Linked DNA regions of Drosophila melanogaster. The protein of the gene in region 1 purifies or fractionates together with the protein of each later gene. This does not show direct contact. Each region holds a gene or a part of one and is shown on either strand. Other genes may lie near its edges. The genes, in order: CG12084 and Dlish.

Region 1 (7,991 bases):
ACATGCCACAGGCGCAGCAGGTGATCGACGAGGTGCAGGAGGAGGCCAAGAGCTTCAACCGCATCTACGTGGCCTCCATCCATCCCGACCTTTCCGAGGAGGACATCAAGAGCGTCTTCGAGGCCTTTGGCCCGATCCTCTACTGCAAGCTGGCCCAGGGCACTTCCCTTCACACGCACAAGGGCTACGGCTTCATCGAGTACGCCAACAAACAGGCCATGGACGAGGCAATCGCCAGCATGAATCTCTTTGATTTGGGAGGCCAGCTTCTGAGGTGAGTGTGTAGCGCTTAGAAAAGTATGTGCGGAATATCTAATGCATATGCTTTTTTAACAGAGTGGGTCGATCTATTACGCCGCCGAATGCCCTGGCCTGTCCCACAACGAACTCCACGATGCCCACGGCTGCGGCAGTGGCTGCAGCGGCAGCAACGGCAAAGATCCAAGCCCTGGACGCGGTGGCCAGCAATGCGGTTCTTGGTTTGTCGCAGAACACTCCTGTCATGGCAGCTGGAGCAGTGGTCACTAAGGTGGGTGCAATGCCAGTGGTTTCGGCAGCCACATCCGCGGCTGCTCTGCATCCTGCTTTGGCTCAAGCCGCTCCCGCTCTTCTGCCGCCCGGAATATTCCAGGCACCAACTCCGGTGGCTCCCAGTTTGCTTGGGGTTCCTGCTGGCCTGCAACCTCTACAGGCGGTAGTGCCCACTCTTCCGCCGCCCGCCCTTCTGGCCACACCCACCCTGCCCATGACGGTCGGCGGCGTTGGCGTGGGCTTAGTGCCCACTGTGGCCACTCTGGCGGGAGCGGAGGCCAGCAAAGGAGCTGCAGCTGCTGCCGCCCTCTCTGCCGCTGCAAACAATGCCGCTGTCACGGCAGCAAATCTCTCGGAGAACATCAAGAAGGCGCACGAGAAGCAGCAGGAGGAGCTGCAGAAGAAGCTGATGGATGAGGGCGACGTGCAGACGCTGCAGCAGCAGGAGAACATGTCCATCAAGGGCCAGAGCGCGCGGCAGTTGGTAATGCAGCGACTGATGCGGCCGGTGGACTCACGTGTAATCATCCTGCGAAATATGGTCGGACCCGAGGATGTGGACGAGACCCTGCAGGAGGAGATCCAGGAGGAGTGCAGTAAATTCGGCACCGTCAGTCGCGTGATCATCTTCAACGAGAAGCAGACGGAGAACGAGGACGACGACGAGGCGGAGATCATCGTGAAGATCTTCGTGGAGTTCTCGGCAGGAGCGGAGGCCATGCGGGGCAAGGAGGCACTCGACGGCCGGTTCTTCGGCGGTCGGAGAGTGGTGGCCGAGCTCTACGACCAGGGCATCTTCGATCAGGGAGATCTGTCCGGTTAGAAGGGGGAGCTATCCGAATTGCATGCGGCTCCCCGCATTTGTTCTATCATTTTTTACGTAGCACCTAAAACGCAAACGATGCAAGTTTATTTATTACGCCAGTCCGAAAGCCAACGGCACGGCATCCGGATTATACAATACGATTATGATGATTATGATGATTCTGCAACGCAGTGATTTAGTCTTTAAAAAGTATCCCTACAGCGAGGGAAGCAATTGTCGGTTTTCTTCGCATTATCGGAGCAAGAGAACTACAAATTAGAACCCAGGCAAGCACGCCGCCGCCGACTAACAATGTGTACATTTACAATTGATTTATTTCAGCGCTTAACTTACAAAATAAACTATAGTTTCCAATTCAAGTGTCTGTTTTTCTTGCGCGGGCTAATGACATTAAGTAATTGCATATCTTAACTGCAAGCCTTTGCATAACATTTATTCACTAACTTTAGATTTTCAAAAGTCAGGATTTCGGAGTTCCAGAATTTTCGGATTAGCTTTCGAATATGAAAGGATACTTTCGGTATTTTTTAGTGCGAAGTAGTGTTAGGTAGACAGCATTGGGTGTTGGAGCGCATTCGGCATCTGGTCACACTGGCGAGAAGAAAGAAAATAGAAACCAAAATAATGAAGTGATTTCCATACGCAAATCGTAAAATTAGAGAATAACAATTGGAATTTTCTGGCGCTCGAGTGCCGCGTGTAACGGTAAAACGCTGCGCAATCGCGGAAAAATCGCTCGAAGTTCGGAAAATCCGTTGGCAAAACGAACGCAAAGACAGAGCAGCAGTGGCAAAGCAAACGCAAAAGCAAAGACAAACGCAACGACAGAAGCAAAAGCAGCGAGGGATTTTGGAGGCTGCTTTTTTGGGGCGACACTAAAGCAAAATAAAAGGTACAGAAAGCGTGGGGCTCCACGGCCAGTCGGCCAGCAACTCCGAGACTCCGGGTAAAAATATCCGGACAGCTGACTGTCGCTGCTCGCAGTTCCGTGTTATTTTGGTCACTCCGCTTAGTTTTGTTGGCCAGATAAGCCAGACAGGCCGACGCTTTATTAGTGTTTTTGTGCTTTTTTCTTCAATAACTACGCACCCACACAGACACACGCAAGCCATTTGTTTTTTACATGCATGTATGTACCTTTGAGATCCGCGGAACTTGTGCATATACATACACACACGCCACGACATGGACATAACCATCTGCCTGGATGTAACCAGGATCATAGTCCCCGTATTAATACCGCATTCTTCCCAATTAGATGACCCTTGGTTATGTAACAGCAGGGGTACATGACTATCGGAAGCCAAGAGCCGAAAACAGATTAAAACAATGGCACGTGCCTGCGTTGAAAAGTCTGGGCAAGATTGGCCAGTCATCCATGGCAACTCAAGTTCCAAAAGTTAGGAGCTGCAAGGGTTCGACTGCAAGGGCAAGCCCGCTTCCTATACCCAAACAATAATTAGTCGAAAAAGTGCAACATGTAAACACAAACTATACTCGTTAATTAAATTGATTAATTCCTGGCTAGCTTACAAAAGAACTAAAGAAATCGTACATCAAAAAGTATATAATCTAGAATGTCAAGTCATTGCCCATTTATCTTAGTATAATAATACATTGTAAGCTCATTTTATAAACATTGATGTTAAGGGCTCATTTGAAAGTGACAAAATATTTAATTCACTCAATGGAAAACACTTCAATGGCAATCCATGTCTGTAATCTTGAAAAGAAAAGGGCACTTTCATTCATTCATTGATGTGATTCAAAGGTTGAATCACTCATCCGTTCCATCATGACTTGTAATCTCAAATAAGGGGCTATAAAATCATGTATAATCGACAGAGTATTGAGTTTGAGCACCTGGATGGATTAATGGGCCAAAATCAAATTCATTTAAATTAATTGAAAAATCGAACGCATTACATGTGCATGTCTCGTGATTAAAAGTAAAAGCCGGTCTACAATAGTTTTGTATTTTGTGATAGAAAACCCGTGTTTAATTTAATTTTATTATCAGCAATATAAGTTCATTTCTATAATAATCATAATGTGAAGTAGTCATTTCATGACTTGAAATAAATTATCATGTATATTCTCCGATATCGTTTCTGAATTCTGTTTCAACACTTTTTTTATTTCAAAGAACAGTAATTTCAATATTTCACAAAATGATGAAATGATGACCACATACCCAAAAACTAGTTTCACGCTTATTGAAATTTTGTTTAATCATACCTCCCATCGCCTCGTTTCGTTTTAGACAACAGGGCCATTATTGAGGCCCCACTGGCGGAGCACAAGAACTGCGGCCCCAAGATGAGCTGCAAGGTGCGGCTGATGGAGGACGGCTCGCTGGACGAGGAGCCGCTGACCCTCAAGGAGATCGCCTACCAGAAGCTGTGCAACAATCTGGACATCATTAGCAGCCACCGGCCAGATGGCCAGCGCGGCCTCAATCCGGGCATTGTGCTGCCCAACGAGATCTGCGACGGCTTCCTCGAGAACTATCAGCGATTCAATCGCCCGCTGGACGACAGCGTCATCCGCCTCTTCGAGGACACACACCGCACTTCGCTCAAGATCGTCAATCTTCGCAACAGCACCCTAAGCAGTATAGGTGAGCTCTGCCCGCCATCCGTAGTGTTCTCCGCCCACATCCGGTGTTGTTGAGCTCCATTGAATAGTAATTGAACGGAATTTATACTGGAATCTGTCAGACTTTCAAACAGACAAACTTAAATTTAAATATTTGCAACCGCACCTCTAAAAGTTTATACAAAATCAGATGCAAGTTCATTTGAAAAATTACACTTATGTAAATGTGTTACCTTCGAATTGATAGATATCCAATCAACCTTCTATTGCATATTTATTGCTGAACCACATTGACTTGAATAAGTTTAAAACATATTGAAATACTATTTGATACATTTTGCAGGCTTGGAGACTCTGATGCGGCACAAACTGTTCGCTTTGTCCTTGTGGTACTGTGACATGATATCCGTTGGTTCCCACCACCTTCTGGCCCACTACGGCGACAGTCTGCGATCCCTGGAATTGGGCATCAGTTCCCATCTGCTGCAGTACGCGGAGCCCAACGAGAAGGAGCCAGTGGACTTCCAGTTGACTTGTCCGCATCTGCGGCGGCTGGTGCTCAACGGTGTTGTGATGCACCACCGCCTGCAGTTCGCTCACCTCCACGACTTGGGCCACCTGGACCTGACCTCCTGCGTGCTGGCCAACTTCAGCCTTGAGGCATTGGGCTCGCTGCCCAATCTGCACACGCTCATCCTGTTCAATGTGTGGCCCATCGCCAACCAGCTGCATGCGATCTGCTGCCTGAGGCGTCTGTGCACACTGGACATATCCATCTCCAGTTCCGGAAATGGCCACGGCACCTACGACCTGCCCGATCAGACGCTGGAGATGCTGATGGACAACTTGCGACATCTCACACATTTGGATATCTCTGGCACGAATTTGGCCGGCAACGGTGTGGCCACCAAGGAGTCGACAACTACCAGTGGCATGCAGCAGAGCCCCAAAATGGAGCAACACTTTGCCCTCACAGACATCCCGGGGCTAGCGTCCCGCACCCAGCGACCGCTGCAGTTCCTAGGCCTCTATCACACGGCCCACTGGGCCTGCAAAAGACACGATATTCCAGCTTTGGAGGTAGCTGGCGATGCCAACGAGCAGCAAATCCTTACTGCGGCGCGTTATTACCACGACAGACCAGTGCTTCTGACAAGAGTTCTCAACGACTTGTACCATCTCTTCCGCTTCGAGAACTGCAAGGACATACACACAGCACTGGATGTTGTGCTCTCCGCCATGGATCGGCATCTCAAGTTCAAGCACATGCAAATCTCCGGCAGGTGGGTTTATAGCTTTGAAGTTAAGTGAAAATAGTATTTAATTCTAAATTTCATCTTCATTAGTGCCACGCTGTTCTACATTGTCAAGGGCAGGGATCGATCCAAGTTTGGAGCACTACTGCGCAATCACATCATTCGCACGCTGCTCAATGGCATGGAGATGCACATCACCGACGACACCATGCTGCGGAATGGTTACCTCACGCTCACCCAGTTTCACATGCCAGTCGATGTGGTAAGCACCGCCTAATCTAATATTATATTAAGTACAGCTAAATGTCTGGTTTTCAGCTCTTCGAGTACGAGCGTCTCATCAAGATCCTGCTGCACGGCGTTTCTAAGACGGAGCAAGAGGGATTTGTCCAGCGCATAGCAATCTACCTGCTGAACACACTCGCTTGCCAGGTGGATGGGCGACAGAAGCTCTTCCTGGGCGAGTTGGGCGTAGTTAGTGTAAGTGTCTTGCCTATCAACTGTTTGCCGGAACTTATTGTACTTATTGGTGATATTCTTGACTTTAGACCATGTTCACGTTGATAAAGGATCGGCTGACTCGCTCCGTTTTCGACGATGTGATGGAGGTGGCTTGGTCCACCATGTGGAACGTAACCGATGAGACTGCTATTAATTGTAAGAGATTCCTCGATGGACGTGGCATGGAGTATTTCCTTAAGTGTTTACATGTAAGTTCTCCAAAAACTTGCCATTATCCGCAGCGCAACAAAGATAAGATTGGGAACTAAAATATTTAATTTAAGAGCTGCATAGAGAAAGCGAACAAATGTATACTCCTTGGTTTCATGAAGAAATAGGTTAACTTCCTGTATCCAGACTTCTTAAGCTGAACTGTCCTTTTCCAAAACAGACCTTCCCGGATCGTGACGAGCTGTTGCGCAACATGATGGGCCTGCTGGGCAATGTGGCCGAGGTGAAGTGGCTGCGGCCCAAGCTGATGACCCAGGAGTTCATTGAGGTGTTTGCCCGTCTGCTGGACTCCCTGAGCGATGGCATCGAGGTGGGTGGTGCTAGTGCGAGTGTGGTGGCGAGAGTGCGGGAGAGAGAGATGGCCAGTGCTAACCATGCCTACCTGCGCTTCCAGGTCAGCTACAATGCGGCTGGAGTGCTGGCGCACATTGCCTCGGACGGAGCGGATGCCTGGACGATCAAGACGCCCAGCCGGGAGCACGTGCTGGAGCGCATGGTGGCCGCCATTCAGCGGTGGAACATCAAGAGCGAGCGGAACATCAACTACCGCAGCTTTGAGCCGATCCTCAGCCTGGTGCGCTGCTACGAGACGCCCCAGTGCCAACATTGGGCTGTTTGGGCCCTGGCCAATCTGACACAGGTGGGGGAGCAATTCCTTTTCCCATTGTTGGTGCATTGTGTACTAACTTCTGCATTCCGTCACAGGTTTATCCCGAAAAATATTGCAAGCTGGTGGAGCAGGAGAACGGCATCCAGATCCTCAACGAGCTAATCGAGCACGAGAGTCCCTACTGCGAGATCAAGCGCATCGCTCGCCTGGTCATAGAGCAGTGCGACTCCGGATCGGAACGCATGGTCGTCGACGGCTAAGCGGATATTTAGGATAACACGTAGCTTTAGGAGTCGAGTTTGTTGTAATGTTTTTTTTCTGCTTCCTCTGTTTCCCGTTTTAAAGCAAGTGCATGTGTTATGTGGTTCAAGAGATTCTTCCTTGACTTTTATGTTTACAGCGAGAGCAGCAGATACATAGATGCAAGTTTAAACTATGCGAGAGTTAAGCAACTAAATCTAATGATGCAGAAATATTCGATAATTACATAATTACTAGATTATATATGTATATGATGTATCACATGTTGTAAGCCAGCGATCTTTTTAGGCCTTCAGAAGTGTAAATATTGTTAAAACCGGAAAGAGGAAGACATTGGAGTAGCAAGCAAGGCTGCTGGAGATTAAATAAATCCTTAAGAATTGAATTCCCCGTGGATCGATAGTTCTTTCTCTAGCCACATAGACGAGTGTATGGAATCTGTTCTTTGAATTGTGGTCATCATACGATGCTCACTTAACCCCCCCACATTTGCTGTGCTTTCGCATCACGAACCCAAGTAGCTGCAAGTTCAGGATCGGATCGTTCAAAATAATCTAGCTATATAATCTAGACCACTAGGCTAGGCTTAAGCAACTGTAAATATATTGCAAGTAACAGTTTTGAAAGTTCTGCGCTTGGCATTAATATTTATAACAGTGTACGTTACCATTAGTTACCTTACATTACGTATATACATATATATAATTTGATTCGTAAGCGACATCACGCCTGTGTCTTACCAAAGACCCTAGAATAACAAGATGCGTAACGGCCATACATTGGTTTGGCACTATGCAGCCACTTTTTTGGTGACGGCCAAAATTACTCTCTTTCCGCTCACTCCCGCTGAGAGCGTAAGAAATCTAAAAATATAATTTGCTTGCTTGTGTGAGTAAAAACAAGAGACGAGAACGCGTATAAGTGTGCGTGTTGTGCTAGAAGACGATTTTCGGGCCAAAATCAATTCTGATCGAAGAAACGAATTTACATGGTACATATTAGGGTAGTTTTTGCCAATTTCCTAGCAATATGATAAAATAAAAAAATTTTTAAAAATTCGCGCCCTGACTATTATAATTTTAAAGCTTTTTTAAATTTGTTTGTTAAAATCGCCGCTTGAATTAGCTACCGTTTACACATTTATATTTATGTTTAATTCTAATTTGTCTCTCATCTG
Region 2 (4,507 bases), on another chromosome or scaffold:
AAATTTATGCTACAATTTATGCAAGGGCGACTGTTGCATGTTAATTTGAATTTACTTCCGGGCATATATTTTATTAAAATATGCGTGACAACCGAAAATAGCTGACCCACAAAGCCAGTGAGCCACTTTTTCCGCCCCGGAGCTGGCATTCTACCCCATTTTCCGCCTCATTCCTCTTAATTTGGCCCGCTGTCTAGTCTCATTTTTTGGCCATCAGAGGTCCGAGCAACAATTACCCGCAGACACAACAGCCATGATGAGTGTGCTGGGCGAGGAGCACCCACTCGATTCGCCCACCCAACCACCTCCTGCCCCGCCCACTGGCCGCCCCTTTTTGTGAATGGCATCCGAGGAGTGGAGGACTGCGCAGAATCCTCTCTATCGATTAAAGCCCAACGCAGACAGCTCTCTCTAATAAAACTTGGGATAGGGCATGGGGATGGGTTTCTGGGATGTGCGATGTGGGCTGTGGGATGGATGATGTGATGCGGATGTGGAATCAACTGCGTAGTAGTCAAAAGTCAAGTTGAAGGGGGTCTTTTGGGGGTGTGGCACCTGCTGCTGATGCTGCCACGCCACTGCTGCTGGTGGGATAATGTTCGAGATGCTTAATGCGCAATTTAGTTTGGGGTATGTGCACATGGGGATACGACGAAGTGTAGGTCAGTTTGGACACTTTCTCTCTTTGGACCCATCCTCTCTTGCTGAGACTCTTTGTTTCCTTGCCCTTTCCATCGAAATTCTCTCGCTGAATTATAATCGAAAATTGCATGCGAAAGTTTTATCCTTGGCACCAAAATAGTGCATTGGCCCCTCTTTTTTCAATGCTGTCCAATAGCGCAAGTGACGCTCGCTAAGAATGACGAGGTCTCAGTGGGGCAGAGGGTTTTAAATGCACTCTGAATTAAATGTATATATTATGTTTATACTACTAAAAGTATTGCTTAAAAAATCCAGATATCTCTAACCTATTATGTTCTATTACATTACAAAATTCACATATATTTGGACTTTTAGTTACATCACTATAATACAATATAAAGTTTTAAATAGAGCTCAGTAGACTTTGGATATACAGCCATTACTATCTAGTAAAGTAACACCTTCCAAACACAATTCATAGCGCCTGGAGCTAACTCAAATCTATCATTCGTTCACATTTTGTATACGACTAAAATGGTGGTTGTACAGGGAATGTACGAAGTCACGGAGCTGGTGGCTGGCAGCGTGGGATGCGTGTGTCTATACATCGCCGGATGCAATGTGCTGCCCATGGAGCATATTCCCGATCTTCCGTCGGCGCTGTTCGTCCTGACCGCCGTGCTTTTTCTCCATCATCTGAGGGTAATGAATTGCGCACCGCTGCAGAAGCTTTGGCTTTTGCTGCTGGAACTGTTGGTCTTCTATATGTGCACCCAGGTCGTGGTGCTTGTGTGGCTCCAGTTGCTCAGCCATATGAATAAACTGCGGGACAATGCAGTTAATACTCGTACCGGCATGTACCTTTTTGAAGCCTATCCAAAAGTCTTTATGTTTTTGCGCCAAGATGTCTACTATTTGGGGCAGCTTATCATGTCCGTGGCGTGCACCTACAAGGCGATAATGGTCACTCATGCCCTGGACTACGCCCTACCAAATCGCCGGACGTACAGATACTATGAGACAGATGAGAACTTAGGCGATGGTCCGCGGCGTCCTACCCGAAAGAGCAACCAGCGATCAACACCCAAGAAGAGCACCGTGCGTGGTCGCAAAAAATAGAAGCTGTCGCAGAAACTGGATCAATCAAATCGCCCAATCTAAACACAGTTTTTCTATGCTTTCGATCATTGAATTAGCCCACAAAACACGCGTAATAAATTATCAAGGTAAACGGCGGCCCGGGTGCATTGCACCCAAATCGAAGGTGCTGCTCAAGAGCAGTTTACGCTTTACTAGAAATTTGCATGCTTGAAAGAGCAGAGCCAACACGTACACACAAAACCAACTTATTTTCAAATTTTGGCGCCTCGCGACAATCGATTAACGGACAACATCATCAAGATCAGCCAATCGTATGAATTCCACCTCTAACACCAGAGAATATTGAGAAGAAGAAGAGCGTTGTGTCGGATCTAAACAATAAAGAAATTAAGCAATTAGCCGAAATTTTGTTGTTTTTCGGTTGAAGGGGGTTTAATTCCGAGTGGGGGGAAGAGATGGCATTTCTTTGCCCCGTGCGCATGAGGCGCGACAAGAAGAAAGGTGTGTTCATAGAAAGCGGAAGAAGCAGCACGGAAACAAAAGACTTCAATCACGAACTTGTTGTAGGAACTTAAAAAAATTGAAATTGTTTAAATCTGTTTATTGGTGCATTTATTTTGTATATCAATGTACAAGAATTCTTTTTGAATTAAATATTTGTATTCAAGTTTTTTTTCTTGAAACTATATTATGATTGAATGCATAAGATATACATTTTATTTTAAATTTAATTAAATACGACATATATTGTACCTAAATAAGCATTTTCAAAATACTCCCTTTTCAGCTACAAATGCCAGCATTGAGAGGGACTTACCAGCTGTGGGTGTATTGGGCATGGGCCGCATAACTGGTTCCTCCAGCATTGAAACACTTGTAAGAGTGGGCATTGAAAAGGAACACGGTCTAAGGTAAGTCGATCCCATCCATTATCAGTTTAAATAGTCTGTACAATATTAATTCTATTTTAGTCCTGATTCCAAGATGGTTGTGCTGCACGACTTTACTCCTTGCGTGGATGATGAACTAGAGGTGAAGCGTGGACAGCTGGTTAATATCTTGTACAGAGAGAACGATTGGGTCTACGTGATTGGTCAGGACTCTAGGCAGGAGGGTTTCATACCCTTCTCTTATTGTGCTCCCTGCAACACGCAACTGGCGGATTTGGCTGTTAAGAAGAAACTGCCAAGGGAACAGTGTCCAGAGCAGCCGATCGAAGAGAATATACCACTTTTGGGCACGGATAACAAGCTGGATGTTCTTTGCGATGAAACCTTGAATCCTGGCTCCGCCAACAGCATAGAGAACACCCTGCTGGTGGAGCCAGAGTGTACTCCTTTCGTGAAGGAACCCTCCGGGCGCTGTATCGTCTTGTACACCTTTATAGCCAGGGACGAGAATGATTTGTCTGTGGAACGGGGTGAATTTGTTACCGTGCTAAATCGCGAGGATCCCGATTGGTTTTGGATAATGCGCAGTGATGGCCAGGAAGGATTTGTGCCAGCCAGCTTTATTTATCCTGCAGACAGTGTACGAGTTTTGCAGCAACAGAAAGCCACTTTAAATGCCATGGAGACCATTTTGCAGCAGGGTCAACAAGGTCAGCAGAGCCAGCAACAGCAGCAGCCTCAATTGGGCTTGGGAACAGATGATCTACGCTACCATGGCACGGAGCTGGTGATGCTGTATGATTACAAAGCGCAAGCTCCAGACGATCTGTACCTTTCTGTGCGGAGAGGAGATTGGATTTACGCAGACTTAACCAATCAGACTGTTGATGGCTGGCTTTGGGCTTATGCTCCGAAAACCCGCAAATATGGATTCATCCCGAAAGCCTATGCCCGACCACCCGCGATGACCAGCCTTTAAGAAATAGATTCAATACCATAATCGTTTTAATTATCACTTCGACTAACACTAAAGCGTAATATTCGTAAGTCTTCCAAACACAGTCGAATTGCATTTCGAAAAGCGTTTCTTTGTGGCTTGGATATTTTTATCTTGAACACTAAATTAATTTTCAACTCATAAATGCCATTTTCATTGAGTAATAAATTGTGCCTTAGATTTATTTTGTATGTGAGTTTGCATAACATATCGTATACACTTAGTCTAGTGATTTCATTCTTAACTGTAAGTGCCTCGTAAACGAATATCAAAAATATCTACTATCGTATTCCATATAGTACCAGCGTGGGCAGCACTTTGCTAGCATCTAGGTCTAGATATGAATACTAAAGCACTGTAGGGGCCAACCCCTCGATATGCACTTGGTTTGTATTATTGTATTGGATTTGCATCCAAGCGGCGCAGTTGCGTAGAGTTATGCTCAGCATAATGTTGTACGCACACGCACGTCCAACTGGATTTTGGTTATCACCTCCGATTGGCGAAGGTCTACTTTATTCCCAAACTGTCGCTAGCTGAGGAGCAGTGCGAGCAATTAAGCTCCATATTTCTGTAGAGAGAGATTGGCTAATGAGATTTTTGCATTTGTAAAAGAAATTGTTATCCTACTTCATAGCTTCTCTCAGCTGCTCCTTCTCGTTCATCTCCTCGCGCAGTTTCTGCTGCAAACTGAGAATGAGATCGTTTTTATTTCGAATCTGCAGCTTCAGATGCTCAATTGTCTCCTCCTGAGCTTCGAAAATTGCCTAGAAGTAAATGAAATCTTATATAGATTTGATAAATACATGAAAAAGAAATCATCCTACACGACACTCCTCCATGGATTCAGAGTACGAAGGCGGCTCGTCCAGGCAGA

What was found.
Region 2: the proteins of CG12084 (region 1) and Dlish purify together in Drosophila melanogaster (affinity purification with western blotting, with the first as the bait; one study listed by BioGRID). This does not show direct contact.

The regions. Positions count from the first base shown.
Region 1 is NT_037436.4:1,490,576-1,498,566, reverse strand, and holds CG12084 (uncharacterized protein), read left to right. Parts: upstream 1-1,923; 5' UTR 1,924-2,249; intron 2,250-3,447; exon of another isoform or gene 3,448-3,620; 5' UTR 3,621-3,676; coding exon 3,677-3,977; exon of another isoform or gene 3,978-4,068; intron 4,069-4,298; coding exon 4,299-5,238; intron 5,239-5,301; coding exon 5,302-5,473; intron 5,474-5,529; coding exon 5,530-5,691; intron 5,692-5,759; coding exon 5,760-5,921; intron 5,922-6,103; coding exon 6,104-6,583; intron 6,584-6,648; coding exon 6,649-6,813; 3' UTR 6,814-7,197; downstream 7,198-7,991. Other genes in the region: hfp (half pint), read left to right, coding at 1-274, 337-1,354. UniProt on the Drosophila melanogaster protein: Serves as substrate adapter subunit in an E3 ubiquitin ligase complex CG12084-cul-2-elongin BC. Targets substrates bearing N-terminal glycine degrons for proteasomal degradation.
Region 2 is NT_033778.4:17,721,242-17,725,748, forward strand, and holds Dlish (dachs ligand with SH3s), read left to right. Parts: upstream 1-2,067; 5' UTR 2,068-2,198; coding exon 2,199-2,244; intron 2,245-2,530; coding exon 2,531-2,654; intron 2,655-2,714; coding exon 2,715-3,612; 3' UTR 3,613-3,815; downstream 3,816-4,507. Other genes in the region: CG10934 (uncharacterized protein), read left to right, coding at 1,177-1,761; Snx16 (sorting nexin 16), read right to left, coding at 4,141-4,201, 4,261-4,397, 4,458-4,507. UniProt on the Drosophila melanogaster protein: Required for the apical cell cortex localization, total cellular level and full activity of dachs.